Linked DNA regions of Cricetulus griseus. The protein of the gene in region 4 interacts with the protein of the main gene of each other region in a pairwise test. Links are inferred from orthologs where the notes say so. Each region holds a gene or a part of one and is shown on either strand. Other genes may lie near its edges. The genes, in order: Txlnb, Fabp4, Nod2, Vim, Crmp1, Mrpl44 and Smarcb1.

Region 1 (3,500 bases), on a different chromosome or scaffold from region 4:
AATTACATTTCCTTTTCAGGGAAAAAAATCATGAAAAATTTTAATGATCTGAATGGAGATAAAAGTTCTTTTATCTCCATGTAAGTAATTATTTCCTTGCTCATTAATTAGGATATTAATATAGAAAATGTCTGAAATATAATGGTTAATATGGAGTAAACTGTCAACTCTAATTCTTTAAATCAAACTGTCACTATAGCTCACTCATGCTTACAGAGCCTGAAGCCTGTAATATTATCTGCCATTGTGTTCATCAATAAATAAGGACTTGTTCATTAATAAGTAAGGAAGCTTCATGACTACATTCAGAAATGGCCTTAGAAAAACATTTTCTGGAAATTTCTTCAACTTCTATATACTTAAAAAGAATCATTAATACAATTCTAATTTAGTCATTGGCACTGATTTGCTTTTATTTTTTTTTAACTTAATGAAGAAGAAAGAACAGAAATTTCAGATAAATACCTGTTACAAATTTCCAGAACCGTGCCTACATGAATCATTTAACCTCACAGCCAGATCTGGGCTGAGGGTGACTTGGTTGTAATATGTTCACATTAATTCATTAAACCCCCCCATTCAGACACAAACACCAAAGTCTGAACTATTTGAAAAGAAAAAAATCATCCAAACATTAAAAAATGTAGGAAGTCCAGAGTAGTTCATTTTAAACCTAAGGAAAATAGATCTGGCTAAATTTTTAATGTGCATGATCTTATAACACAGCCAAAGATTAAATATGGCAAAGCAGGAATCATCTGTCTTCCACCTTCTAAAGCACATAAAGTATATATTTGTTTCAGGGAACACAAAGAAAGCTTTGGTCTTGTCTACCAAGGAGCTATAAATGTCTCTTATTGGAGATATTTCTGCATGTCACAATTAGATATGTTACTGTCACACAGTAGATAGAGGGGCCCAGGTTGATGGGCACATAACAGCCCATAATACAGAGGATTCTGCACAATACAAACTTTTGTCTATTCTGTCAACAGTGATGAACTTGCAAAGTTTTGACATATAGCTTAACCCTCAAAACTGAAGTCTAATCTATAATGACACAATACATCAATTTCAAGGAAGAAAAATCTTGCTCTAATCATAGGAAATTAATGTGCATGATTTTATAACACAGCCAAAGATTAAATATCACTATGGTACAAAACAAAAGGACCACATTTATCTTATAAACATAAGTTTGGCATGTAGGATCACTGGCTTTTCAAGAAGGGAATCAAGGCCAATCATTATTCCTAGTAGCATGGTTCTCTTTTTCCAATGTTAATTTTTAAAAAGTAGAAATTGCATATGGGTATAACTTAGAATATCAAATGTGCATATTCTTGGTTTAATCTGAGTAGGATTTTTAATAGTTATTCAACATGGTAGAACTAAAAATAAAGTAAGAATTGAAGGAAGTGTGACAATCTTCAAATAGTTCAGGGGGAAGAAAAAAATTTTAAAACAGGGAAACTAAAATGTGGTCAAGATCCACAAGGGATGTACATCCATTTCCATTAGGGTCTATGAGGCTCCAGGAATACCTGGCATCTAGAAGTACCCAATGGCTTCCCAGGAATTTTCCTTGCTCCTAGCCAATATGGTTACTGATAGAACCAGTCCCTTCCTGGCTTAGGCAACACCCAGGCCCTAAAGAAACCAAGTCCAGTAGAGTGAACAATTCTAGACCAAAGTCTGCTGCTTGCATGTGGCCACATGGATGTTCTATTTCCTTAGGTATCTTGTATCATATCTGGCAAGCCTACACTCATATTTTAGTATCTGAACATGGACAGTATGGGAATAAACTTCACCTGGATCACCAGAAACAAGGGTCATGATGTCTTTACTGTAGTCATAGAGAGGCTGAGGACAAAGTTGGGCAGCAGGGAATGTTATCAATATCTGCCTTTTGCCCACTGTGTTGTGTGTGTTTGGGTGTTATGATTTCGCTTGCTTTCCCATACCCAAAGAGTCCACATCTAAAACCCCAAATTATAAAGAGGATAACTGCACTTTATGTTACCAGGAGGCTGTTTTTTCTCTTTCCTATTTTTAAAACTGTCACCACTGGTTTATTTTCAGATGGAGTTATGAGAGTGAAATGTGAGCCAAGCAAACAAAATTGCTAGCCATGGTCTGAATACAAGATACTGCCATGAACAGACACACAGTTACAAGTGTGTCTTTCTTTTTAGGGTAGCACCAGATGACATCATGAGACAGAAACAAGAAAAATATTTCTAGATATCCAAAAAAAAATCAGAGAAGAGGCTAATAGAAGTAATAGTTATGTGAAAATCATATATACATATTATGTACATACACATTATATATACATATTTATGGAGCATATACATATTATGTTCTACAAATTATACCTACACATTATACAGGAGTGGGACTTGTGAAACTTATGAGCTGTCAGAGAAGCAGATAATGATGAAAAATAGTTTTAAACAACCACACAGAATGTCCTTAGGCTTTGCTTCTTCTCTGTGAGCTGCAAAGACACCCCTGCCGATTTCTTTGCTGCTTGAATCCCCATGTCTAGCTGGATGAGCATCGAGCTGAGCAAAAGAAACTAAAACTCCTACGGAAGCAGCAGGCACAGATCCAGAGAGAGAAGGACCAGCTTCAGAGTGAACACAACCGAGCCATCCTCGCTCGAAGCAAACTTGAGAGTCTGTGTCGGGAGCTGCAGAGGCACAACAAGACACTGAAGGTATGTGGCACGTTGGAATGACACATTTCTTAGCTGTTGCATAGACACAGGCCTCTGTTACCTGGAAAAGCATGAGTTACAACCAGAGGACTTACAGTCAAATACTGGCTCTGCTACTTGCTCATTTGTGATCTTCAAGTTTTTACCTTTGTGAATGGTTCCTCCATCATCTGATTGTGTGGTCAGAAGGGGAAAGCTAAATGATATTCCATTTGCAAGGTGCTTACATATAACAACAGCTGCAGGCCCAGAGTGAAATAAATGCCATGCCTCTTTCTTGCTTGCTAGGTGGAGTTTTTTGTTTGTTTATTTTGATTGGTTGTTTAGATGGTCCTTCATTTACTATCTAATTGTTTTTATTTTTACTTTATACGATTGGGTGTTTTTCCAGCATGTATGTCTGTGCATCACATGTGTCCCTAGTGGCCAAGGAAGCCAGAAGAAGGCATAGGAACTATTGTTATAGACAGTTGAGCTCTGCTGTGTGGGTGCTGGAACTAAACCCAGGTCCTCTGAGAAAGTAGCCAACACTCAACCTCTAAACCATCTCTCCATCCCTTAGATTGCACTTTAAAAATTTGTAAAAATTCAGCATTTATTTTAATTTAATGAATTCTGCATGACAAGGCATAGACACAAAGCTAATTGACATGCAAAAGTGAGACAGAGAGCCAAAAATATCAATAATTGTCTGAGAAAAGAAGCTACTTAGAAAAACACCGGAGAGCTCTTTCAGTCTTAATTACTCAATTTAAAAATAATAGACTGATCACTT
Region 2 (4,026 bases), on a different chromosome or scaffold from region 4:
AAATCATGTCTTGTAGGTTGTCGAATTAGAAGCCAGGCCCTCTCCTTGCCCCCAAATCCTTATTCCTCACCTTCACTTTCCTGTCATCTGCGGTGATTTCCTCAAATTCCTGGTCCAGTTTGAAGGAAATCTCAGTGTTTTTGAATGTGCTCTCTGATCGGATGGTGATCACATCTCCGTTCACACTGATGATCATGTTGGGTTTGGCCATGCCGGCCACCTTTCTGGTGGCAAAGCCCACTCCTGGAGTTAAGAAGGGAAAACATGGCAAACTTACATTTTTTGTCCATGAAGAAAAAGATGCTAGATTACTTGACGCTCCTTTGAAACAAGCTAAGCAGCTAAGCATATTGGCCCTAATCCTCGAGGATACACTCAGGAGCAACCTATCCAGATTCACTCTTAGGTTGTCCCCTCTCTACTTTAGGAGACTCATTGATTTCAACATAATCTATAGAGATTAAATCTTCATACCTCCATGTGTATGTTTTTAGATATATGTCAGCATATCTATAATATACCTATAAGAATATGGCAATAATGCATGTGTCTATATACTGTCTCTATTTCAGATCTCTGATTGAGACCATTTGACCATTTCATTCTTTCTTAAATATTAAAAGTTGTATTTAAAAAAGAAATCTAAAGTCAGAGACCAGGCCTGAAGTAGAGTTAGTGGGTTAAAGGTTCATCTATTTTGAGTATACAGAAACCACATATCACAGCATTTGTTGCCAAGTGTAATTTTCTAGGTTTCTTTCCCATATTACTCCCTCATGAAATGAAGATCTCTGATTAATTTCTCTAAAAGGAAAAATGCTTCCTGCATGCCATGCCATTTTAGAATGCCAATACCATTCCCAATATTGTGCAAGGAAAATTAAAGGGAGAATCAGTAAATATCTTTTGAACTCAATAAATCATAATTCCATTGTTTAAAATAATTTGGAAACTAACACTTTGCATCTCAGTCACTCAAGTTGTGAGGTCTTCTTTGTTTAAATGAGGGAAATGCTCTCCTGTAGAGGGTGAGCAACTTAAATCCTTAGATGAACAGTAATCACTTGCGTTCTCTGTGTATGTTACACAGAATTTGTAGTCACCGATGTGCTAACTTTTCCAACACAAATGCTTAAACAAAGTTTTTTTTCTTTGACTAGAAGTGACCACAGGTTAGAATTAAGGCTGTCCTGAGAAACACAGCACAAATAAGTGATGCAGAGCCGGCAACTTGGCTCTTTGTCTAAAAAGTAGCCCCAGTGAGAAAATGATGTAGTTCTGCCTTGAACCCTCACTCTGCTGCATAACACATCATTCAGTTCAGTCAATCAATATGAGGGAGGGGTGAAATGTGGAAGACTATTCCAGAGGGACTGAGACTAGGAAAAACTAAGCTTCACTTGTTTCTTTCTGACTTTATTTGACCACAGAAGGCAATACCTGCCCACTGTGCCTCAGTTATAACTGCCAGTTCCATTCAGGAAATACTTACTGCCTTTAATTACGAGTCTTTCACAATTTAAAGTGTCACTATAACTTAGATATGAATATTACAAGTACAAAATGTTTGTTTCAAAATGTCAGTAGCTAAAGGTGGTCTAAAACCCTGGTGTTTCTGGGTCAGTACACGGGAACTAGCATACTAAGCTGTACCTAGCAGATATGCTAAAAGGTCAGTCATGCTGAAAGTCCTGATTCTTATCTACAAACAGGAAGACAATATTGACAGATAACCAAAAGTTCCCACTGTATAACTCAGGGAAAGGTTAAGCCTTTGGAAATTTAGGGGATTCTGTCCTAATGAAGATACTCTGTAATATGGGATCTGACCTTACGGAGGTCATGGAGAGAGGGGGTTCAATGAAGAAGCTCCCTGAGAAAGTGCATCACTGGTCGATGGCCACTGCATTGCTGCCAGTGTTATTTAATGACCACTCACACAGCAGCATGCGAGCCGTGCTGACAGAACCTAAATCATTTCGAACCTCTGCTATCTGAAAGGCATGTTCCATATGTGTTTCACATGCCAACTTTCCCTTTGAATTACTCACTAAATCTATGACATCCATATCATTCCAAACCAATGAATGTTCAACCCCATGAAGAAAAATATTTCCTAACGTCAAGCAGTCTACTGTGATGTTGATATCGGGAAAAAAATGCTAAAATATATTTTTCAACATGATTTTTTTTCTAAGATGGGCAGTGTCATGACTTCAGTTTTAAGGAAAAAGTACTCCGTGCAATAAAAAAAAAGTCTATTTTTCTTTCTGAGTTATTGCAACATTTTTATTTAAAAGGAGATGTTAAAAACAAAGAGCCAAGTGCAGAACAGCGACACACGACACAAGGGTGGCATTGAAGGCAACACTTATCATTCTGTGGATCCTAACAGACTTTTATTTAGACTCCTTTCCCTTTCCCTGCTGGCTCACCTGCAGGAAGCACTAGGTTGAACCTTTCATTCAGGAGGCTTCTAGAACAGGCTCTTTCTTGTGGCTTCTACAGCCTCCATGCAGAAAACAGCCTTTCTCTCAGCAACTGCTCCCAAGCTGGAAGCAGGCTACCAGCCCTCTCCCCAGCGGGGGAACCCCTCACCCCCCACAGCACTCACCCACTTCTTTCATGTAATCATCGAAGTTTTCACTGGAGACCAGTTTCCAGGTTCCCACAAAGGCATCACACATCTTGTGAACCTTCTGAGATTTCTCTACCAGGTGAGAAAGAGGCTGCAGGAGGGGGAAGGTGCTATGATCCTCTTGAGTCCAGATAATTCCTTTTTAAAGATGTCCCGGCCATGTGACTGTAGGAGGGACCAATGGAGGTTGGCCCCAGATCATTTCCTTCATGGCTAGCCCCTGTATTTTTTCCTCTGAGTCATGTTTTTAATAGAAATTTCTCAACTTTGGTTCTGCCTGGCAATGATCAGTGGACTTAGAGTACAACTTATTTTTAACCATGAACAGAGTATTTTAAACGTTCCTGTTTTGCCTAAATGCTTAGTGCATTGAACTTCCCCCTATTATTCCATATGTATTTGTGGAGGAGACAATTACCTTGGGACGCACTTTCACCCTCTTGTTGAGTTTTCATTTTACTAATAAGGCAATAATGTGCCTCGTTCTGTGATTAAGGACATAAAGCCTACCTTAGAGATTGTTAGTCCTAATGGCTCTTTTGTTAAGACTGCACTGTTTCAGGAATTATAACAAAATAAACAATGACACTTGAAACTGGCCTAGATTTTTTTTTCTTTTTTTGACACAGTGTCTCTCCAAACAGCTCTGGTAGTCCTGAAACTCACTGTCCAGGCTGTTCTTGAACTCACAGAGAGCCTCCTGCCCCTGATTCTGGAGTGCTGGGATTAAAGGCGTGTCTACCACATCCTGGCCAAAGTGGCCTAGATTTGTAATTTCAAATACTTAGTATGTATTAAAAATTTATTCATATCATTGTTCAGGAATCCAGACCACAGATTTAATTAAATTAAAATTAAGCCTCATTCTTCTCACTTCCTAAATAATTATATAGTATTGATTTTTACAGACCCCTTAAAGATGGGGCCCAATTCAAAATATGCTCCTCATCCCATTTCTGAAATATATTGTAAGTTTTAAATTTATACAGATCTAAAGAGTGTGGCCTTACATAAATTATCAGATGTAATGTGGTCACAAGTTAGCAAACCTGTTTTTTCTTTGACATGGTGACTAACCTGAGATAATGTTATAAAATAATCTTGGTTCTCAATCTCCCTGCCTCATACCCGAATGATGGAAGAAGTTCACTTGGACCACAACACCTGTGAGCATACCTACATTTCAAGGTATGGGACAGAGATGGATTGCTACACTGTGCCTCACTGAGACGTACCTGCTGGGCATCCGATAGACTCCCAAGCCCATGTCAGTATCCCAAAAACATGTCCAGGGAAAGGGATACTGCAAACAAGGGATTTTCTGTAGGAAAATAAGCTACTATAAAAGTTTGATAAAGTTAGCTTACAGTGCCAAGTTTTAATTGCAT
Region 3 (4,118 bases), about 55 Mb from region 4:
AAGGCATAGCCCCACAGACCTATTCTGCCAGTCCCCTGCCTCTGAGTAGGCCATCTTTCTATCTCATCTTAAGCAGCTGGAAAAGAAGACCTGGGGTTGATACTATCGTCCTGACCAGCTGAGGAGTCCTTCATTAGTTTATCTTGTTCGGCTAAATTTGGAAGAAAAAGCAAAACGATAGATGCTCTTGTCACCTGTTTCATAAAAGCTGGTCTAGTATCCTGTTCCTGCACCTTCCTACTCAGTCAGACTCGTCCTCTCCAGGTTAAACAGGCTGTTCTGCTTCCCTGCCTTTTCTTCTCTATCCAGCTAGGGCCACCTTGGAGTCACTCTTAGGCTCTGCAAGACGGAACCCAAACAAAGGGGGCACCAGCTTGCTGAAACAGAGGGTCAAGGGTATCTACAGAGGCCCCTCTCAGCCAGGTGGTGGTGGCACATGCCTTTAATCCCAGCACTCAGGAGGCAGAGGCAAGCAGATCTCTGTGAGTTTGAAGTGAGCCTACAAGAGCTAGTTCCAGGACAGCCTCCAAAGCCGCAGAGAAACCCTGTCTCAAAAAACCAAAAAAAATTAAAAGTAAAAATAAAAATGAAAAAAAGCCCCTCTCATCCCCAAGCCCCCAAACACACACACACACACACACACACACACACACACACACACACACGTGCTCATGCACACGCCTGTGCCCCAGCACCTCCTTCCTTCCCAGGATCATAGGCAGCCTGGTTTTCCTTGAAGTTCCCAGCTGAGGATTTGTTTGAGAGCTGAACAATCCTTGCAGTGTCCCAGGCCTCCAGCAGATGGGAGAGGAAGGGAGGTCCCCAGAAGAGTGTCCTGGTCCTGGCTGGCCAAGCTTTCCCTGGGGCACTAACCCCACTCTCCATCTCCACTGAGTTGCTCCCCAGGACATCAGTTCCCATCATAGAACAAACAAACTAATTCATCCTTCATTTCTGCCCTCCCTTGTCTAGGCCTGAACTTCCCAGTCCTCCCTTCATCCTTCCCCCCCACCCCACAACCATTACAAGTGAAAATGCAAACCATGACTTCCAGTATTTGGCCTTCTGTTCCTGGTCTTCCTTTCTGACAAGGACTTTTGTTCTACCTGTTCACTCTCCTCCCTGGAGCACGTCTCTTGAGGCCATGAAGGATTTCTCTGACCTTCCTTCCCACATGCTAGCTACTCTTTCTAGCCATTCTGCCTCCAAGGCTGATAACACACCTCTGTACTGCCGCCGAACTGAATCACTGCCACTTCTCTGAGCCACTCTCTCCCCACATAAGCCCACCTCCCCACAGGCTTAAATTCCCAACTATGTGGCAGTGATGCCTGAAATGTCACTGACAGTTCTGGACAACATTCAACATCATGTGGTACCTACCAGCATCTCCAAACAACTCAATCACTGGACCTTCCTCCTAACAGCTAGCTCCTTTCTCAACTGAAAGTGGCCCCAAACTGCCAGAGTCATCCTTGACTCTGCCGCTCTCGGGCATCACAGACCATCCACCCAGCCTTCAACAGACCCCAAATCTGAAAGCCACAGTTTCTCTCTCCACCTCTCTCTATACCACAACATAAGCCCTGAAGCCTTCTCATGGTTCCTTCATCTGCCATGACCCCCTATAGGTCAATGTTAGTCACACAACTAGATGAACCTGCCAGATCTTAAGTCAGAGCAGAGACCTTATCTGTTCACAGCCCAGCCCACTAGTGGATCTCATCATAGTCAAAGCGAAAGCCAAAAGCCTTTATAGCAACCTCAAGCTCAATACAAGAGACCTCAACTTCCACCCCTTTCCTCCTAGCCTCCATTGACTCCCACCCTGCTGTAGCCCCTCACCTGCTTCCTCACTCTCAGAACAAGGGAGCCTGCTCTGGTCTGTGGTGCTCCTGCCTTTGCCTAAGCTTTATGCTCACAGGGCACTCTCTGTCCCACAGATAGTCACATGACTTGCCCATCACCTCCTTAAGATTTTGTTCAGTGGCCACTGTCTCAGAGGGGCCTTCCTATGCTATGTAGAACTGTGGTCCCCAAGCCCTGTCCCAGCATTTTCTCCCCACAGTCCTTTTCATCATCTGCCATGGCAAGCATTATCATGATACACTGCTGGAGCTCCTCTCTGGACCCTGTGCCTCACCCTGTGAATAGACTGGTCTGAATGAATGAGAATGTCTTTATTCCACACAGCTTGGGGAGGTAGCTGTGGAACCAGAGAGTAGCCATTACAAGGCACAGACTTTAGCCAATGGGCTAGTAGGAAGTGCCTGCTCACTGGGCCACAGTGAGTGCTGACCTGGGTGAGAGAGAGGGGCAAAGTGTGGGCCAGTGCCAGCTTGGAGCTGCATGTGGAGACCACCTGGCATCAAATGGCCAAGAAACCAGGGCCTCCAATAGCCTCACAACAGACTGACTGGAAGAGAAGCAACAGAGCTGTCACTTGGTCTTTTCCCCAATTGGGCAGAGGTGGCTGATGGAGCCAGCTTTTCTGACCCTGCAGAACCCTGGCCCTAGGGGGAGATCATACTCCCCCTAGGGCAGGAAAGCCAACAGCCTGCCCCAGGCCAGGACCCTGCAGGATCTGAAAAAAAAGAACAACAACAAAAAAAAAAAAAAAAAAAAAAAAAAAAAAACAGCCATGAGAGTTTCAACCAGCTACAGACCTACCCAGAGGCTTGGGAGCTAGCTTGTCCAGACATAGAGGCACCAATGACTTGAGAAGCATAAGAGAGGATCAAGCTTGAAAGCTGAGCTGGCACTGGGCAGGTGGCCGTGGGTCTCTCCAGGCAGAAACAGCTTTTGGCCCCAGCTCCCACACTTACAAATGAGTAAGGACAGGCAGGAGACACCTGCAAGGATCAGGGAGCAGCAGCTGGGGTCTCTGAAGACCAAAGACAGAGAAACTGAGGCCCACGGAGAGGGGACAACTGTGCCAGGAATGGCTCCTCCTGCGACCCAAAGCAGGATTTCCTCCTTCTGGGTAAGGACCTCACCTGCAAGTTTTCACCTCCACTGTCCCAGCCACCCCCAAACCTCAGCCTCCCCTTAGACTTCAAAGGATCCTGGGGCCTCAATGGGCTTCCCGTGCCCTAAACCTCTTCATCTTCAGTGACCACAGTCTGACACGGGTCCCCTCTCGAGAAGCCCCTTTCCTTCTACAGCCTATCTATTCTGCTGATGATTCCACAGGGAAACAGTTCCTTCTGGAAGGAAGCGCAGAGCCAGTTAACACCATCATAGGGATGGGACATTAGGCGCTCGTGTTCTCCACCACACCGAGCCCGACCCCTCCCCCCCCCCGGAGCACTAAGTCTGCCCCCAGAAAACCTCTTTTCACCCACCCACCCACCACCCCGAGCACCCGCAGACCACAGAAGCAGCAGGCAAGCACTCACCGCCAGCTGCAGCGCGGGGTTCCTCCGCCCGCCTGGTGGTGACTCCCTCCGTGATCTTGCCCCGCCCGTCGTTCCACCTACTTAGCCAGTGACCCCGCCCACTGTGGCGGATTCGGAAGGGCGGCCACACCCCTCCTGATTTCCCTCTGGGGACAGGTGGTAAGACAGGTATCTTGGAAGAAGCCTGCCTGCGGTGCAGTGTATCCTGCCCTTGTGTGGCCGGCTTTCTGGGCCACCTTCCAATTAGGAGGGAACCATAGAGTCCCGAGAACAAGAGACAGGAAAGCCCTCCCTGTCAGCAGGAACCGATGCACCCTCCCAGGGATCTGTAAGCCCTTTAGTCTTGATGGTTGCATTCCCAGATGGCTGTGCTGGGTGGAGACTTACTAGGACTTTAAAGTTACTCTCTTCCCCTTGGCCGTCAGTCCCATGCAAGCTGAGGAGAGGAGGTCACAGCATATTAGCACTTGCCTCCCACACAGTGCTGGGCTCTACCATCATCCTAATCAGAATTCAATAGTGTTGTTTTGTTTCTATTGCATTCATTTGATTTTATAACTTCCTATTCTTAATGTTATTTTTAATGATTTATTTAAATTTTATTTATTGTGCATCAGTGTGAAGGTGTCATATCCCCTGGAACTGGCGTTACAGTCAGTTGTGAGCTGCCATGTGGGTGCTGGGATTTGAGCCAGGTCATCTGGAAGAGCAGCCAGCTCT
Region 4 (4,100 bases):
CAAAAAGGAAAATATATGATGTAATCCTGAACTGTATTGGTTTTGCCTTCTCTGATTTTTTTTTAAATGCCCCTTGACTCATCCTATAGGATATTTCTATCTTTCTCAGCCATCATTGTATCAATTCAGTGACATCAACTATTCCAGGATGGTGGAACAAAACACAATGAAACTATATGTAAACTCCTTTACAGAGTTTATAAAGTGATCTATAAGCTTTCCACTAAGTCCTAAACAAAAACAAAAACAAAAAAAGATATAAATGATGTCAGACCAATCTTTTGAAAAAAATTCAGTGAAATGTGACTTCTTTATTTAAGGGAATGAAACAGTTTAATTTAGTCCATAAATAAGAAATGTTGAATATTCACCCAATGCCTTACAGAAAACATTTCTTGGGTGATGACCATATACCCCCAGTGACAAAAAAAAGTAACCAAATATTCTTGTACTGCTGTTGAGTATGCAAATATCTCTCACCTTCATAATGTCACCCTAGAGAGTTTTGTAGCTGATCCTAATGAATGTTCCCAAGGATAAGACTGTACTGGCCATCTTTCTGCTTTGGTATGCTGTTAACACCTAACTTTGAAGCAAAAACAAACAAAAATCCCTCCTTCGTATGAAACTCCATTCTTCAGTCTAGGATTTATCTTTAATTGTGGAGGGTGCTAACCAGTCTACAACTCCATAAGAGGAACCCTTTCCGGGAGGACTGTAGCTTTAAGAACTTTGTACACCACATACTTCACAAGCTTGAGCCAGACATTAGATAAGGGATGTTAGCAAATACTTGTGTCCAATTGGAACTGTGGTTACATCATTACATATTCAATAAGAATGTAGCCTGTTGCAAAGCTGCTCTGGGAACACAAAGGCTCCTATTATTTCTGTCCAGAGCCACCGCATTTGCCAGAATGTCGGTATCCACATTCCATAGTGAAGCCCATAGAAACTTTTAATACCCTTCAGCAGCGGGAACAGATGGCTTCCTTTCACCCTTGTTAGATTACAAAAATAGTTGTGCAACGACACTTCAGCTAACTTTCATGCAGTACCGAACTTCGAAGAAAGAAAGGGAACTTGGCTCAATTCCAGTTAAACTTTCTCATCCTCCAGAGTATTCTACATTTCAAACTTGAGGACGCAACTGTGCTTTGTGTGACCTTGTGAAAGTTAGCTGATTTGACTTTCACAAACGGCATTCTAATCAAACTGTAAGCGTTCAGAATCAGAAGGTCAACGTTTCAAAAAATGAAAGGGAAATATTTTGGGGGAACAGAAAAATCTGAATGTCCCCTCCCCGGGGGAAAAAAAAAAAACATAGAAAAACTTCATGTTGCAAGGATTGACCTAAACAGTGGAGTTTTTCAATATGTGGACTTTCTGCCACCAGGGGCTTTACAGGCAGACTTGAAGTTTTGCACCTTTAAATCCTGGGTGAAGTAACTTTTAGAACTGCGAGTGGTTTGGGTGGGTGGGGCTGTTGGCTACAAACCTGTCTGAAGGACTGCAGGGTGCTCTCGGCTTCCTCTCTCTGGAGCATCTCCTCCTGCAATCTGAAGCAGTAGTACATTAAGCAGAGTGGAACTGGGAAACCACCAGGGGCGGGGCGGCCACACCCAACCACATCGCAGCCAAGCCAGGAGGCCAGAGCTGCTGTGACACCTCCACCCACACCAGCGACAACAGCTTTGTCGAGCTCCCTGCCCTCAGCAGGTGTTAGCTGGAGTTGGGGCACAGCCTAAAAAGACAATCACTGCCCTTCCCTAGACCTGCACAAGGAACCTCAGTCCCAGCATCCCAGCCGCCTCTGCCGTCTCTTTGTCTCAGATCCTTCACACTCATCCTCTCTTCCTGCCACCAGAAGGGGCTAGAAAACTTTTTTAAAAGTTCAGGTGAAAAGCTCGAGTGGAGCCAGAAGGGAAATGTTCACTGCAAAGTTTAGGTTCAGGGTGGGGCCGCTTCCTCTGCTATCCTCCAGACAACCACCACCCCGGCCACATCCCCAAGGGCGTGGCAGCCCTCGAGCAGGGCCCAGGACTCTTCTCCCTCCCAGAGCCCCACCACTCGCGTGGATCATGCCTTACTTCTCTCGCAGCCGCATGATGTCCTCTGCCAGATTGTCACGCTCCACCTCGACGCGTGCCTTGTCATTGGTGAGCTGATCCACCTGCCGGCGCAGCTCCCGCATCTCCTCCTCATAGAGGTCGCCCAGGCGCGACTTGCCCTGGCCCTTGAGCTGCTCGAGCTCGGCTAGCAGGATTTTGTTCTGCTGCTCCAGAAAGCGCACCTTGTCGATGTAGTTGGCGAAGCGGTCATTCAGCTCCTGCAGTTCTACCTTTTCGTTGGTGCGGGTGTTCTTGAACTCGGTGTTAATGGCGTCCGCCAGCGAGAAGTCCACCGAATCCTGCAGCAGCCGCACGCCCGGCATGCTGCTCCGCAGGCGCACCGCAGAGGATCGGGTCACATAGGCGCCACCAGGGGATGAGGAATAGAGGCTGCGACTGGTGCTGGGGCGCAGCGCGCTGCCCAGGCTGTAGGTGCGGGTGGACGTGGTCACATAGCTCCGATTGGAGCTCGGCCGGCTCGAGGTGCCGGGACCACCGAACATCCTGCGGTAAGAGGACGAGGACACGGACCTGGTGGACATGGTTTCGAGGGCGAAGGTGGGCTAGGCTGCTGCAGCTGCAAGGACTGGCTCCGATAGGAGAGCGAGGGCACGGTGCAGGCGAACCGTGGGAGCGCTGCTGTCTCTGGGGTCCCCGAGCAAGAGTGGCAGAGGACCGGACCCCGCCAAGGGCGCTGCTTTTATAACACTGTTGGGAAAGAGGGTCCCCTCCCACTGTCATCCTAGCCGCGGGGCGCGCCAACCAATGGGCACCCAGAGAGAAGTGAGGAAGGCGGGAGGGGGAGGAGGGGAGGGGGGCTCCCTGGAGCCTTCTTCCAGGGCCGTCGGTGATCCGACACAGTCCCCTTACTTCTTAGACAGGGCTAGGACTTTCAGGGGCTTTCTGGATGATCACACAAATTCTCTGCTCACGCCTGGGTTCTAAGAAAGGAGGGAGGGATCGAGGGATGGATGTGTGGGGGAAGGGGAACTCCGGAAAGTTGAGCGAAGTGGTCCCTGGCACTGTGCCAAAGGGGCGTGGGACAAGGCGCGCCGGTGGGAGGGGCGCGGTCTCGGCGCTGCGGTCTTCTGGGACTGGGTGGGTGGGAAGACCTGTGAACAGAGGAGCAGGAAGAGCCAGCAAAAGCGGTCCTGCAGATCGGAAGGCGGGGAGAGAAACAAAGAGGGCCTGAGATTGGGGTGTGGGGCGGAGAAGCACTTAGCCTAGGATACCAGGTTCAGGGCCGGGCTCTTGGACACTTTGTAGAGGGCATGTTTTGGGTGGTCGTATCCTGGGATCTAACGGACTCAATCCAACTCCAGAGGGCCAGGATCCAAGGCCTCTGGAGTAAAGCCCAGGGGACCAGGGTGGGGTCGCTGAGTCAGTGGTGATGACTCACCCAGCCCTGAGGGTGAGATCGTCTAGCGGTTCAGGGAAAACCGTTAGTTGAGATTGACTCCAGACTCTGAGAACTCCAAGCTCATTGTCCCAAGTTTTTAACCAACTCTGAGCACGGCCACTCTTTTGATTGTTTTATGGAGACACCAGTGTGGTGAGTTCTCCTTAGGAAAAAGCCTCTGGGACACAGAAAACATCCCACCCCTCCCAGACCGCAAACATACTCAGAAAGGCTTTTCTTGCAAAGTTCCCTCCCGCGTTTCCCTCCCTTCTCTTCTTCCTGCATGAAACCACACCCTAAGTTCTGGGTGAAAGAGGAAACTACACTGGTAGTTTCAAAAACAAGCTCAATGATCACGGCCTTTTCTGAAAGTGGAATTCATTAAAAGATAACCCGAGCCAGACAAGAATTCATTAGGTATTGGGAAAAAAAGTCCAATTGTCCAATTTGATGAATGAGTTCAAATGAAAGGCAATTACGTAACTTAAGAGATACACTGAAGAAACAGATTTGTGTTGATTTTAGGGCACTGATGCAGGGGACAAGATTCTAGTGACTGGTCTGGACAATGTCACAGCTCCTTTCCCCCA
Region 5 (3,500 bases), on a different chromosome or scaffold from region 4:
CCACCTTCAGTCTGAGCCACACCTTCTGGTGGCAGCCTATATAAAGAACACAGAAGTAGGAAGATTTTGTTCTTTGCCTGCTTGCCTTCACTCTCTCTGGCAATTCCATTCCTTCACTGGCATTAGAGCTTACTTTTGGGGGATTTCAGCATATACTCAAGACCATTTAAGACACCAAGTCTCGTTTGTGGACTTAACAACTACTGGATTCTTGGGCTTTCCCTTGGTAGACAGCCATTGTTGGATTAGCTGGACCACAGCATCCAAGCCACTCATATGATTTAATATATAATATACATACATATATATGTATATACATGTATATACATATAAAATTCTATCTGTTATGTTCCTCTGGGGAACCCTGACTAATACAATGAGCTTGGGAAGATGGCTCAGTTGGTAAAGTGCTGACTGTGCAAGCATGAGAATGAGTAAAACCCTCAGAATCCACATTTTAAAAAAAAGATGCTGGGTGCACATGGCATCCCTCCCTTCTTGCAGAACAGTTTTGTTCAGAACCTCACAGTACAGAGGAGAAAACAGATCAAGGCCAAGTGCCTTGCCAATGGGCACACTGCACACAAGTGAATGTCTCTTATCTTCACATGTGACATGACACCCTTCCCCAGTCATCTCACTAATAAAGGATGTACCACATCTTTTACAGTCTACTTTGTGCAGAGGCCCTTTATGGTAGGAAGGAGAACCTTGGACCACTCACCTGAGCTATCAAGTCCCCATTTTCTGCATGGACTAAGATCACAGCTCCCAGGCCCTTAAGGAAGGTGAAGGCTTCATACAGCTAAAGAGGAGAAATGAAGCTGGTGTGAAATCAAGGTGCAGCAATGCATGTGTTTAAAGGCTGCCCCTCTGCTCACTCCTGTGGCCTCTGCAGACTCCATGCATCACCATCTTCCAGATCAAGAGGCAGAAGGCAGGGTGGAGCCAAACTAATGAGAGGCTCATGATGCCAGTACAACACCTCCATCCTCTTAGTCTTCCTTCTGGGTACAAGACTGCTGACCCTGAGATACATGCTTGCAGGTGTAGGAGGCGGGGTCTCAGAGGCAGGAAGCAGATTGAAATAGGCCCAATCTGAGACCCACAGCTGACATCCACACCAGGGGCCTCAGTGGATCAATGTAATAACCCATGTGGTACATACTACTGCTTCCATGAGCCCCAACCAACTTCCTGCTTCTAGATACCTTGGGTGTCTACATCAAAGGCCTTGAGGATCCTAAATATGTTGTTATCTGCTCCAAGGTGCTTCTTTGGAGGGCAGGACATGGAAAGGGCACCATCAGCCCAATTCTTCAGTAATAGCCAATGAGAAATTCCTAACTGTCCTTTAATTTCACTTGTATTAAATCACTCAACATTCTGACAACCTCTGTGAGATAGTATAAGCCTCAAGCCCAGAGATGGTGGGAAAGATGTTCCCAACTGCCCAGCAAGCACCAGATATGGCAGGCTGGCACTGGTATCCACAATTTTCTCTAGGAGGTAGAGGGGATATGATGGTGGAGACAGGGTAGGTGCAAGCAGAAAGCCCACTCTTGGAAATACACAGTGGTGTCTTCTTCAGCTTCTTGCACCCTGAGCCAGAGATCTGACACCCTTCTGATGAAAAAACAGACAGCATTCCTCAGTGCCTTGCATCTGTTTGAAGGAGGCCACAGCTCACCTCTGCAGAGCCAGTGTACTATGGTCCCCAGCCTCCCCTGAGCCCTAAGGAAACTGTCCAGTCTGCAGGAAGTACATACATATCCAGAAGGCAAATCCTAAATGTCTACAGTGGGCTCCAAGTAGCTGTTAATGAACTGCCCAGAGAATGCTGGGGAAGAGCTATGTGAGGGACACCCTACCAAGGATCCCAGGCTCCACACTCCCATCTCTTTTTAAGGAGGTATAAAGGTACAGGATGGCCAATGGTCACACTGCACTTAGTGCTGAGAGTGAGGCCTGAACCCAGGCCGTAAGTGCTCCCCTCCCCCACTCATCACAGCTGGGTTCTGCCTGTACTGGTGAAAAGAAGCTCACAGCAGGGCCTACCTGGCTGTCAGACATCTGGTACAGGTCCTTATATGCCATGTAGACTTGGAAGGAGTTGACACCTGTTGCAAGATAAGATGGAGAAAAGTGTGTTTGAGTAGAGTTGAAGGTCTTTCCAATGACCAGGTACACAGTAGAAATTGTCAAGAGAGAAGTTGCCACAGGATCCACAGTGGAGCACCCAACCCAGCCTGGAGATGGCAGGCAGTCCCTAGAGCCTTCTGAGAAAGATCAAACCTGAGCTGGATCTAAAGGTAAATGAAGGAGTTAGTGGATAGAGAAAGAGGGGACTGGGAACTGTGCAAGAGGGGAGGGATGACCATGGTAGGGATAACCTCCATTCTAGAAAGTGCCCTCCTCCAGCTGAAACAAAGGGAACATGAGCTTCCTAACATTTTTTTTTAAATTGTAGTACAAGGTGAAGTTCAGTGCCATAACCAGCTCAAGCTTCATTAAGGTGCATGGCACACAGGATGTGCAATCAACTGCTAAGTCTAGTGTCTAAGTCTTCCCCCGCTAGGGGTGCCATGGAGCACATTCTGTGATGGAGAGACAGTCCTGGGAACAAAGAGGACATGTGGAAAGCAAGGGGAAGCATGGGGAAGCTTGGGGAATCCTGCAAAGAGGAGGTTGAAGACTCTAGGCAGAGCATAGGTGAGGCATGGATTTAAAAAGAAGAAAAGGGCAGGACTTGATCTTGAGGAGCAGTTTGGGGGAGCACAGGACAGACAGGAGAGAGCTTGTCTCTCATTCCTCTTCAAGCTGCTTGAGGACAGAGGACATGCCTCATGGGTCACTTTGCCTTGCTCCCCTGGAACCTGCGATGTGTGACTCAAGTTTGTAGATAGACTATGAAAATATTTGGAGGAGAAAAAAAGAGTCTGAGGCAAAATATTAAAGGGGATGAGACTTCTTTTGCACTCAGCAACAGAGACAACAAGCCAGAGACTTCTGCTGTGTGAAAAACAGCTGTCATAAAAATTCCTTCTCTTAAAATAACGGGGAAAAATTAAAAATGAAAATTGTTCTCTAAGAGTGGTATAAAAATATCAATGACTAATCAAGTATACACAAGTAAAAATATCACAATTAGAATGTGTATGAGGGAAGCACAAATACAGTGATTAAGACACTGTATTCCTTACAAAGATGGGCCTTCTGAAAATATGAAACCTCAATATACTCACAAACACAGAAGCCATATCACTGTCACCATCAACATCCAGGTTCATCTGGTGAACTGGAAACTCAGACACTGACTCTCTGCCATGGTTTGAATGTGATGTGTTTCCCATATATGTGCTCACATCGTGGGGCCAGGCTGCCAGCTGGTGGACTTTGGGATCACAACTGGATCCTGAGGGTTCTAACATCCATCCATTCAGGGAAGATACACCCAATGCCCTACCCTTTCACCTCTCACTGTTTCCTGAGGGGGTGAA
Region 6 (3,946 bases), on a different chromosome or scaffold from region 4:
TATCAGAGTTAGTTATACCATAGGTTGTTCTTGTTTGTTTGTAGTTTTAACAACAACAACAAAAAATCACAGTTGAATTTAAAAAAACATTTCAATTTCAAATCCTAAGAAAACAATGTCAAGCAATATGACCAATATGACTTCAAAATTCAAAGTAGAAGACAGCATGTGGCTATCTGCCTCCTAAGGACACACCCCCACAGCCGCACCTTCCACCATGGCAGGCTACATTCCTTTTTAGACCCTGAGCTAAAATAAATCTTTCCCCTTAAAGCCAAACAAACAAAAAACAAAACTAGCCGGACGTTGGTGGCACACGCCTTTAATCCCAGCACTCGGGAGGCAGAGGCAGGCAGATCTCTGTGAGTTCGAGGCCAGCCTGGTCTCCAGAGCGAGTGCCAGGATAGGCTCCAAAGCTACACAGAGAAACCCTGTTTCGAAAAACAAACAAATAAACAAACAAACAAAAAAATTAGAAGCTGAAAATGACTTAAATCCTTCAGAACTCACAACCCAGCATTTAATATTTGCACTCCACTCTATCCGCAAAAGAAAAAAAAATTGAAATAACAACAAAATTACCAAAAAAAAAAAAAAAAAAAAAAAAAAGTTTAGGTCTTTGACAGTTTTTCTGGGGAGAAACAGTCTGTTCTATAAAGATATATCAAAGGTATGAACGAAAGACACTTTTCGTTTGTCCTCATCAAGTGTGTGTGTGTGTGTGTGTGTGTGTGTGAACAAGTAGAATTAGCGATACCCACCCTGATGAAAAGCGCAGCCCTTTCAGGTCCGCTGCTCTGTAGCAGGGCTCCAATCACTGCAAAGAAAGTTCGCCGCAATACAGGCAGGGGGACAGGGAATTCTGCACTAAGGGCCAACTGCTCCACAGCCAAGTTTCTAGCCACATGACAGACAACTGCCTCACCAGTAAGAAAGCTAACTAGACTTTCAATGCCTTCGGTGGGCAAATCTGGGAACTCATCTTCAAGAAACTGTGTGAGGCACTTATGTGAAAAAGACAGCCCTTGTTCAGATAGTTCTTGATTGTCCTTAAGATTCAGAAGAACGGCTTCTTTCTCAACCCCAAGTTTCTGACGTTTCGCCTCTTCACTTTTAATATAGCAGCTATTGACGAAAGCAGTTTTGAGAAGGTCCAAGGAAAAGGTTTCTTGTAACCGAGCCCCAAAGGCTTGTATTTCCGCATGGTAATCCCAGTTTGGCTTCTCGGAACTGAGGATGCAGAGACAGAGATGGTAAGGACAGGAGGACACCATGCACAACTGTGCTCTAGCTTTATTAGATAAAGGAAATTATACAAAGGGACAAAACGTAGTCTGCTTCTTTTAACGTCAAGTTCTAACAGTTTAAATACAAAAAAGCAACGCAGACGAATACTGGCGGTCTTTGTTACATTCTACACACATGGTTAGGATTAATTTTCCCTTTGGCTTAACTGCCACATTAAAGTGATTGCTGGCATTACATTAGACCATTGTTCAAGCTTTTCAATTTCTTCTTTCTGCCCTGACAATGAAATTATGCTTTACACCTAAGTATAAACAAATTCTAACTATATAGATTCAGACCAGAAACTAAAAGTATATTATATTTAGTTTATATCCTATTTACTTAAATTTCAGAAATGTCCACTTAAGCTAGTACCAGTATTATAAGCATGTTAAGCTGGGCAGTATGCAGAGGCAGGCGGATCTCTGTGAGTTCAAGACCAGCTTGGTCTGCAAGAGCTAGTTCCAGGGCAGCCTCCAAAGCCACAGAGAAACCCTGTCTCCAAAAACAAACAAACAAACAAACAAAAAATCCATAACCATGGTGAGGCTTGAGGCTGCTATAGTTTAGTGGTGGAGTGTTTGCCGAGCAGACACAAGGGGCTGTGTGTGCTCATACACTTTAAATACACAATTCAAGAATTAGTGTAAACATGATCAGTGTTCTCCTGGAGACCAAGATTAAAGTAGTAACCACAATTTCACATCAGGAGTAAGTTCCCCAAACACTAGAGACAGTTCCCACCTCTTTAGGTGTACTAACAATCTAACGGCGGTCAAGTGCCAGTCAGACTAAGAATGAAGTACATCTACGTGTACTTTTGTCCACAGCGACATCGTAAACAGAAGATGCAAGAAGCAGGCTCATAAGCAAGCATGGTGCACTTCGTAAGAGCGTATGGCTATTTTTCTGTGTCTGGCCAGCCAGCGACGAGATTAACTAGATCAAAAACCTAAACGTTTCCCCTCTCACTCCGGACAGTGGACACGTAGTTCAGTTCTACACAGAAGTGAACTTTTCTGCCCTGGTTTGCAGGACTGTGTGTAGAATGATGCTATCGCCCCTAAAGGCGCCCTAAGAATCTCAGGCCGGAGACTGAGCAGTCGCAAAGCTGGGCCAACCTCAAGCGATCACTCTCTAGCAGGCCCCATTTCTCTATTTGGGGTTACTGGGATTCTGCAGGGGACAGCCCGGCCAGTGTCGCCCTTCTCCTCTGCCCCAGGCCGCGCGCGGCCTCCCCACCACCTGCCTGCAGCTGCAGCCCAGTGTCCTCGGCCGCCCACCTACCGTCGCACGGGTGGCGGCGGGCAGCGCTGCAGCCGCCATCGCTCCAGCTCCTTCTGGAAGCGGAAGGCTGCCCGGAACCCCTTCTTCACTCCCCGAACCGGGGGGACCAGTGTGGGGGCTGCCGGAGCCAAGAGGCAGCGAGGGCCCCGCTGCAGCAGCCGCACCACAGCAGAAGCCATGGCTGGATCAAGGCAACGAAGGGCGGAAGGAAGGCAGCCGGACCGGTGTCGCCAGAACACAGTTCCCCAGGAACTGAGCGGCAAAGGGAGGACTCAGAATTAGGAAACACCCACCACAAGGGCGGGTCGGCGGCGGACTGCGTATTCTGCGCCTGCGCAAGTGCTCCTTCCTGCCCAGGATCTGAGTATGGGTGCAGAAATTGCTGGGAAAAGTTGCATTTCCCTGTCAGTCTCTATTGTGTTTATTTCCCACTGAAGTAAAACAAAAACTTGTTGAACTTTCAGTTTGAAGAACGCAGTTAGATTCTCAAGAGAGAAACACTTGTTTACATTCAGCCTTAGGTTGTAGAACATCAATCCTGCCACCACTGAGCAAATGTTTTCCTAAATTCGAGGTTTCACCTGACCCTTCTCCCAAAATAATCTCACTGCCAAAGGCCTTACGTTCAGAAATGTGTTTGACTTAACCAAAATTAAAGTTTGCATTTTATTTTTTATCCATTTTACATCTTACCGCATTCTCCAGTCTCCATTCTCCCAACCCCTCTCCCACATCTCCCCCTCCGAACCCCAATCACCTCCTCTTCGGTCTTCACCCAGGAAAAGTGCAAGTCTCCTATGAGTATCAATAAAACATGGCATATCAAATTGCCATAAGACTAGGCACCTCCACATGTATTGAGGCTGGGCAAGGCGACCCAGTATGCGTAGGGTCCCAAAAGCTGGTAAAAAGGTAGGTGACAAGCCCAATTCCCTATCTTAGGAGTCTCGTAAGAGGAAAAAGAAACAAAAATGTGACACTTATGCAGAGTGCCTAGGTCACTCTCAAGCCGGCTCCCAGATTGTCTGTTCAGTCTCTGTAGACATCTATGTGCCCAGATGAGTAATTGTGTGAGTCTTCCCGTGGTGCCCTCGACCAGTCTGGTTCCTACGCTCCTTTGTCCTCTTCCTCCGCAGAATTCCTGAACTCTGTCTAATGTTTGGCTGTGGGTCTCTGCATCTGCCTCCATCAGTTACTGGATGACACCTCTGTGATGACAGTTGTGCCAGGTACCAATCTGGTCACAGGAGACAGCCAGTTCAACCTAGGTTTGTATGTTATAACAACTACTTTTTTTTTTTTTAATCATGGGGAAAAGAAGTGTGTGTGTGTGTGTGTGTGTGTGTGTGTGTGTGTGTGTGTGTGTGTGTGT
Region 7 (3,500 bases), on a different chromosome or scaffold from region 4:
CACCGTGTCCCCTGGTTGTCCCCACTGTGTGACACTGCAGACATCATTTCTGAAGTCAGTGAGGCCATGGATCTTTATAAAAATCATAGGACTAGCTTTTCATGAAGGGTGTCCTTAAGTGTTGCTACAAGCAAACTAAGCTATTACTCGGGGGAAGTAGTGATTTCTAAGATAGTCCAGGGATTACTAATATAGGGCTTTTTAGACTTGAGAAAATTCTTTTGGTGTCTCTGGTTTGAGTTTTGTTACTAAATAAAGCAACACAGGCAGCGGGACAAATTATCTTGCATCTGTCTAAAATTAAAGACATTTTGGTGTTTATTGCCTTGTAAAAATATCAAAGTCTGCTTCTTAAGATGAAAGGAGGTCACAGGAGTCTCAGATTTCAGAAAAGTGCCAAGAAATCTTTCGTCCTGATCGACATCACAAGCTCCTTACTGAGGTCTGGGATCCTCCCCAATAGACATCTGGTCAGATCTTTTGGAACTTGGTTCTGATGTCAGGATACACAGATTCCAGCCAGATGTGCACTGCTGTTGAACCCTTGATGTCAGCAAAATGTGTTTTATGGCTGCTGACAGGCTGGCGTCTGGAGGCCTTGTATCTCATGTACTTGATCCAGCAAATCCTCTCTGCCAGAGCCCTTCGGCATAGTGATCGATGGTCTGACCCTCATAATGAGCCTTCTTGCTTTACTCATAGGTGGGAAACTACCTCCGTATGTTCCGAGGTTCTCTGTACAAGAGATATCCCTCACTCTGGAGGCGACTAGCCACTGTGGAAGAGAGGAAGAAAATAGTTGCATCGTCACATGGTAAAAAAACAAAACCTAACACTAAGGGTGCGTCTTCACGAGGGTTTGTAAACCTGTTTCAAAACCACTCGCTTATGTCATGAAGATAAAACGTTTTCACTCCAGTGTCTTCATTGCAGCCTGACCTTAGTTCGGTAGGGAGCATCCCAGGGGCAGGCCACCCTGCCAGCGCACACATGGTTCAGTTGAGAGTAGCTCAGCGAGTCTTTGGTGCTCCACTGTTGTGTGTTCCTGGCTGGGCCAGTGGGTATGTGAGGGGCCAGGGCCAGGGCCAGGGTAGTAGCAGGTGCTGTGAAGACATGTTGGTCTCAAAACGTTTTAGGAATGCTGTGATTTGCTACCATTTGCTGTGAGTGTGTTGCCGTAGTCGTCCTTCTTGCAGCCCTAGTAGCAGACGGTGGCCCCAGCCCTCACTTTCTTCTGGGGCTTTCACCGCTTCCCTCCCAGAGCACATTTATCTCATAATACTTCATCTTGGCAACCAGTATGCTAAGCTCATGTGCATGTACCCATTCCACGTGGCCTGCCCTGTGCCTGGGGCTTGCTAGGTGAGCCACCTGGTGCTAGTGAAACTAGTGCAAGGTCTGGGCTGTGGCAACTCTGTGCAGAGTGAAGATGCTCTTCATACATTTTGGGGCCTCTAGGAAGAACATTTGGGTATGGGCGCAACATGCCATTTGGCCGGTGGCAAAACTGCTTTCCACTCAGCAGAGGCACCCTGTAGAGAGCTGCCCTGGGCCTGGGTGCATGTGTCCGTGCATGCATGCGTGCTCATGAGCACTCTGTAGTCTGTCTTGTCAGTAGGTGCTAATGTGCTAATGTAGTTGTCTGTTGTGGTGTATTGGGGTTCTTTTAATGCAGGAGCCAGAGCTGCTTTTTATCCACTTCTGAAAGAATCCACTATTGCCTGAAACAGTTTCCTTTGTGTCCCCTCTGCCAAAAGTGGAATATAGTCACTAGCATGGTGGCTACCTAGCTTTGCCTGCCCTTCCTTGAGTTCCCATGAAGCCTTAGTGGTCTTGCTACCATGTGCCTTCCTTTCCTATAACCAAGTGAGTCCTCCAGCAAAGCTAAGCAGGTCCTGCAGATAAGTAGCAGCGCTTGACAGAGGTTCCCTAGAACTGGGCGGGGAGGGGGGGGGAGGCATATCACGTGGTGTGAAGTTCTGTCTTGTTTTCCAGACAACCACATCTGGCCTGACTCAGGGATGGTAACTTTTGCTTGGTGTGAAATAGTTCTTTCCAACTCTCTGGGCTCTTGTTTTAAAAGAAGAGGATTCATCTTTCATTCTGTCTCCCATCTTGCTTTGTGTTTTAGATTGTGGTGGTGTCAGACCTCTTCCCACTGGGGTGTTACTCTGAAGCCTTCCTGGCAGCCCCTAAGCTGCAGCTACCCCCAAACATGTCTGCCCCAGAGCTAGTGCTCTTAAGAGGCAAATTCGTCCAAATCCATCCCACCAGAGGCTTTCTCCACTGAGATGTCTAGGTAAAGCCTCAGTCCGGATTGCCCTTTTGGAAGAGGCTAGCACTCAGCAGTACTGAGTTTGACACCTTGCTTTCCCCACCTCCTGCATGTGAGGACCTCGTGTGCTGTATCAAGTTGGTTGTCAGCTTGTTCACACTGCTGCAGGATGACCACAGTGGGGTTTCTCTGCTTACAGATCATGGGTACACCACCCTCGCCACCAGCGTGACGCTACTGAAAGCCTCGGAGGTAGAAGAGATTCTGGATGGCAACGATGAGAAATACAAGGCTGTGTCCATCAGCACAGAGCCCCCCACCTACCTCAGGTATGCCTTCCTAATCTCAGTTTGCTCCAGAGACATGTGGGGGTATGTGTGTGTGGGGGTCTCATCCTGAAGAACAGGGTAAAGTGAAAGTTGCTCACTCACTATGTTTATAATTGCCTGACCTTGGTTTCTAAGTTTCTTCTGTATCTTTGACATTCTTAACAAACATAGGCCAAGTCTTGAGTTCTGGAATGTTCTGAATCTGGGACTCATTTGCCCCCCCCCAAAAAAAATTGTGACTCAGATAAACTTCCAAAAGAAACAATAGATTTGAATACACACAGGTAGAACTTTGAAAAAACCTTTTCCTTCTTTCTTTTTTGAGACAGTTCTCATGTGGCCCAGGCTGGTCTTAAAATTTGCGGTGTAGCTAAGTATGGTGTTAAAGTTAGAATCCTCCTGCCTCTACCTCCTCGATGCTTTGATTACAAGTGTGTGCCATCATGCCTAATTATAATAGTGCTGGGGATGGTACCCAGGACTTTGTGCACACGAGCAGCGCTCTACCAACTGAACCATCTCCTCCTCAGGTCCAAACAGGTGTTTTTGGTTTTCTTTTCTTTTTTTTTTTTTTTTTTTTTTGATCAGGGTTTTTCTGTGGCCCTGGCTGTCCTAGAACTCACTCTGTAGAGCAGGCTGGCCTTGAACTCACTGGTGCTAGGATTGAAGGTGTGCATCATCACCACCCAGTCAAGACAGGGTTTCTCTATGTAGCCCTGGCTGTCCTGGAGCTCACTCTGTAGACCTTCCTGGCCTCGAGCTCAGATGTCTGCCTGCCTCTGCCGCTGGAGTTGTCTTTTAAAAATAACTTTTAAAAGTTGTATTATTGTAGGCTGGAGAGATTGCACGTGTGTGACATGCCATGCGTGTGGAGGTCAGGGGACAGCTTTGTAGAA

What was found.
Region 1: the proteins of Vim (region 4) and Txlnb interact in binary tests that used the Homo sapiens proteins (3 or more experiments, as listed by UniProt). The two-hybrid records come from large-scale screens. The link is inferred for Cricetulus griseus from reciprocal best matches to the Homo sapiens genes VIM and TXLNB.
Region 2: the proteins of Vim (region 4) and Fabp4 interact in a two-hybrid assay, tested with the Homo sapiens proteins (2 studies listed by BioGRID and IntAct). The link is inferred for Cricetulus griseus from reciprocal best matches to the Homo sapiens genes VIM and FABP4.
Region 3: the proteins of Vim (region 4) and Nod2 interact in binary tests that used the Homo sapiens proteins (3 or more experiments, as listed by UniProt). The link is inferred for Cricetulus griseus from reciprocal best matches to the Homo sapiens genes VIM and NOD2.
Region 5: the proteins of Vim (region 4) and Crmp1 interact in binary tests that used the Homo sapiens proteins (3 or more experiments, as listed by UniProt). The link is inferred for Cricetulus griseus from reciprocal best matches to the Homo sapiens genes VIM and CRMP1.
Region 6: the proteins of Vim (region 4) and Mrpl44 interact in a two-hybrid assay, tested with the Homo sapiens proteins (2 studies listed by BioGRID and IntAct). The link is inferred for Cricetulus griseus from reciprocal best matches to the Homo sapiens genes VIM and MRPL44.
Region 7: the proteins of Vim (region 4) and Smarcb1 interact in binary tests that used the Homo sapiens proteins (3 or more experiments, as listed by UniProt). The link is inferred for Cricetulus griseus from reciprocal best matches to the Homo sapiens genes VIM and SMARCB1.

What each region holds. Positions count from the first base shown.
Region 1 is NC_048595.1:271,868,300-271,871,799, reverse strand, and holds part of Txlnb (beta-taxilin), read left to right. Parts: intron 1-2,554; coding exon 2,555-2,725; intron 2,726-3,500. UniProt on the Homo sapiens protein: Promotes motor nerve regeneration. May be involved in intracellular vesicle traffic.
Region 2 is NC_048595.1:137,722,241-137,726,266, reverse strand, and holds the start of Fabp4 (fatty acid-binding protein, adipocyte), read right to left. Parts: upstream 2,801-4,026; 5' UTR 2,688-2,800; coding exon 2,615-2,687; intron 244-2,614; coding exon 71-243; intron 1-70.
Region 3 is NC_048596.1:164,271,074-164,275,191, reverse strand, and holds the start of Nod2 (nucleotide-binding oligomerization domain-containing protein 2), read right to left. Parts: upstream 2,801-4,118; 5' UTR 2,729-2,800; coding exon 2,671-2,728; intron 468-2,670; exon of another isoform or gene 1-467. UniProt on the Homo sapiens protein: Pattern recognition receptor (PRR) that detects bacterial peptidoglycan fragments and other danger signals and plays an important role in gastrointestinal immunity.
Region 4 is NC_048596.1:218,981,783-218,985,882, forward strand, and holds the start of Vim (vimentin), read right to left. Parts: upstream 2,801-4,100; 5' UTR 2,654-2,800; coding exon 2,091-2,653; intron 1,560-2,090; coding exon 1,499-1,559; intron 1-1,498. UniProt on the Homo sapiens protein: Vimentins are class-III intermediate filaments found in various non-epithelial cells, especially mesenchymal cells. Vimentin is attached to the nucleus, endoplasmic reticulum, and mitochondria, either laterally or terminally.
Region 5 is NW_023276807.1:106,236,692-106,240,191, reverse strand, and holds part of Crmp1 (dihydropyrimidinase-related protein 1), read right to left. Parts: intron 2,121-3,500; coding exon 2,059-2,120; intron 806-2,058; coding exon 725-805; intron 1-724.
Region 6 is NC_048595.1:432,481,998-432,485,943, reverse strand, and holds the start of Mrpl44 (39S ribosomal protein L44, mitochondrial), read right to left. Parts: upstream 2,801-3,946; 5' UTR 2,754-2,800; coding exon 2,575-2,753; coding exon of another isoform or gene 2,537-2,574; intron 1,231-2,536; coding exon 762-1,230; intron 1-761. UniProt on the Homo sapiens protein: Component of the 39S subunit of mitochondrial ribosome. May have a function in the assembly/stability of nascent mitochondrial polypeptides exiting the ribosome.
Region 7 is NW_023276806.1:262,704,482-262,707,981, forward strand, and holds part of Smarcb1 (SWI/SNF-related matrix-associated actin-dependent regulator of chromatin subfamily B member 1), read left to right. Parts: intron 1-702; coding exon 703-841; intron 842-2,474; coding exon 2,475-2,604; intron 2,605-3,500.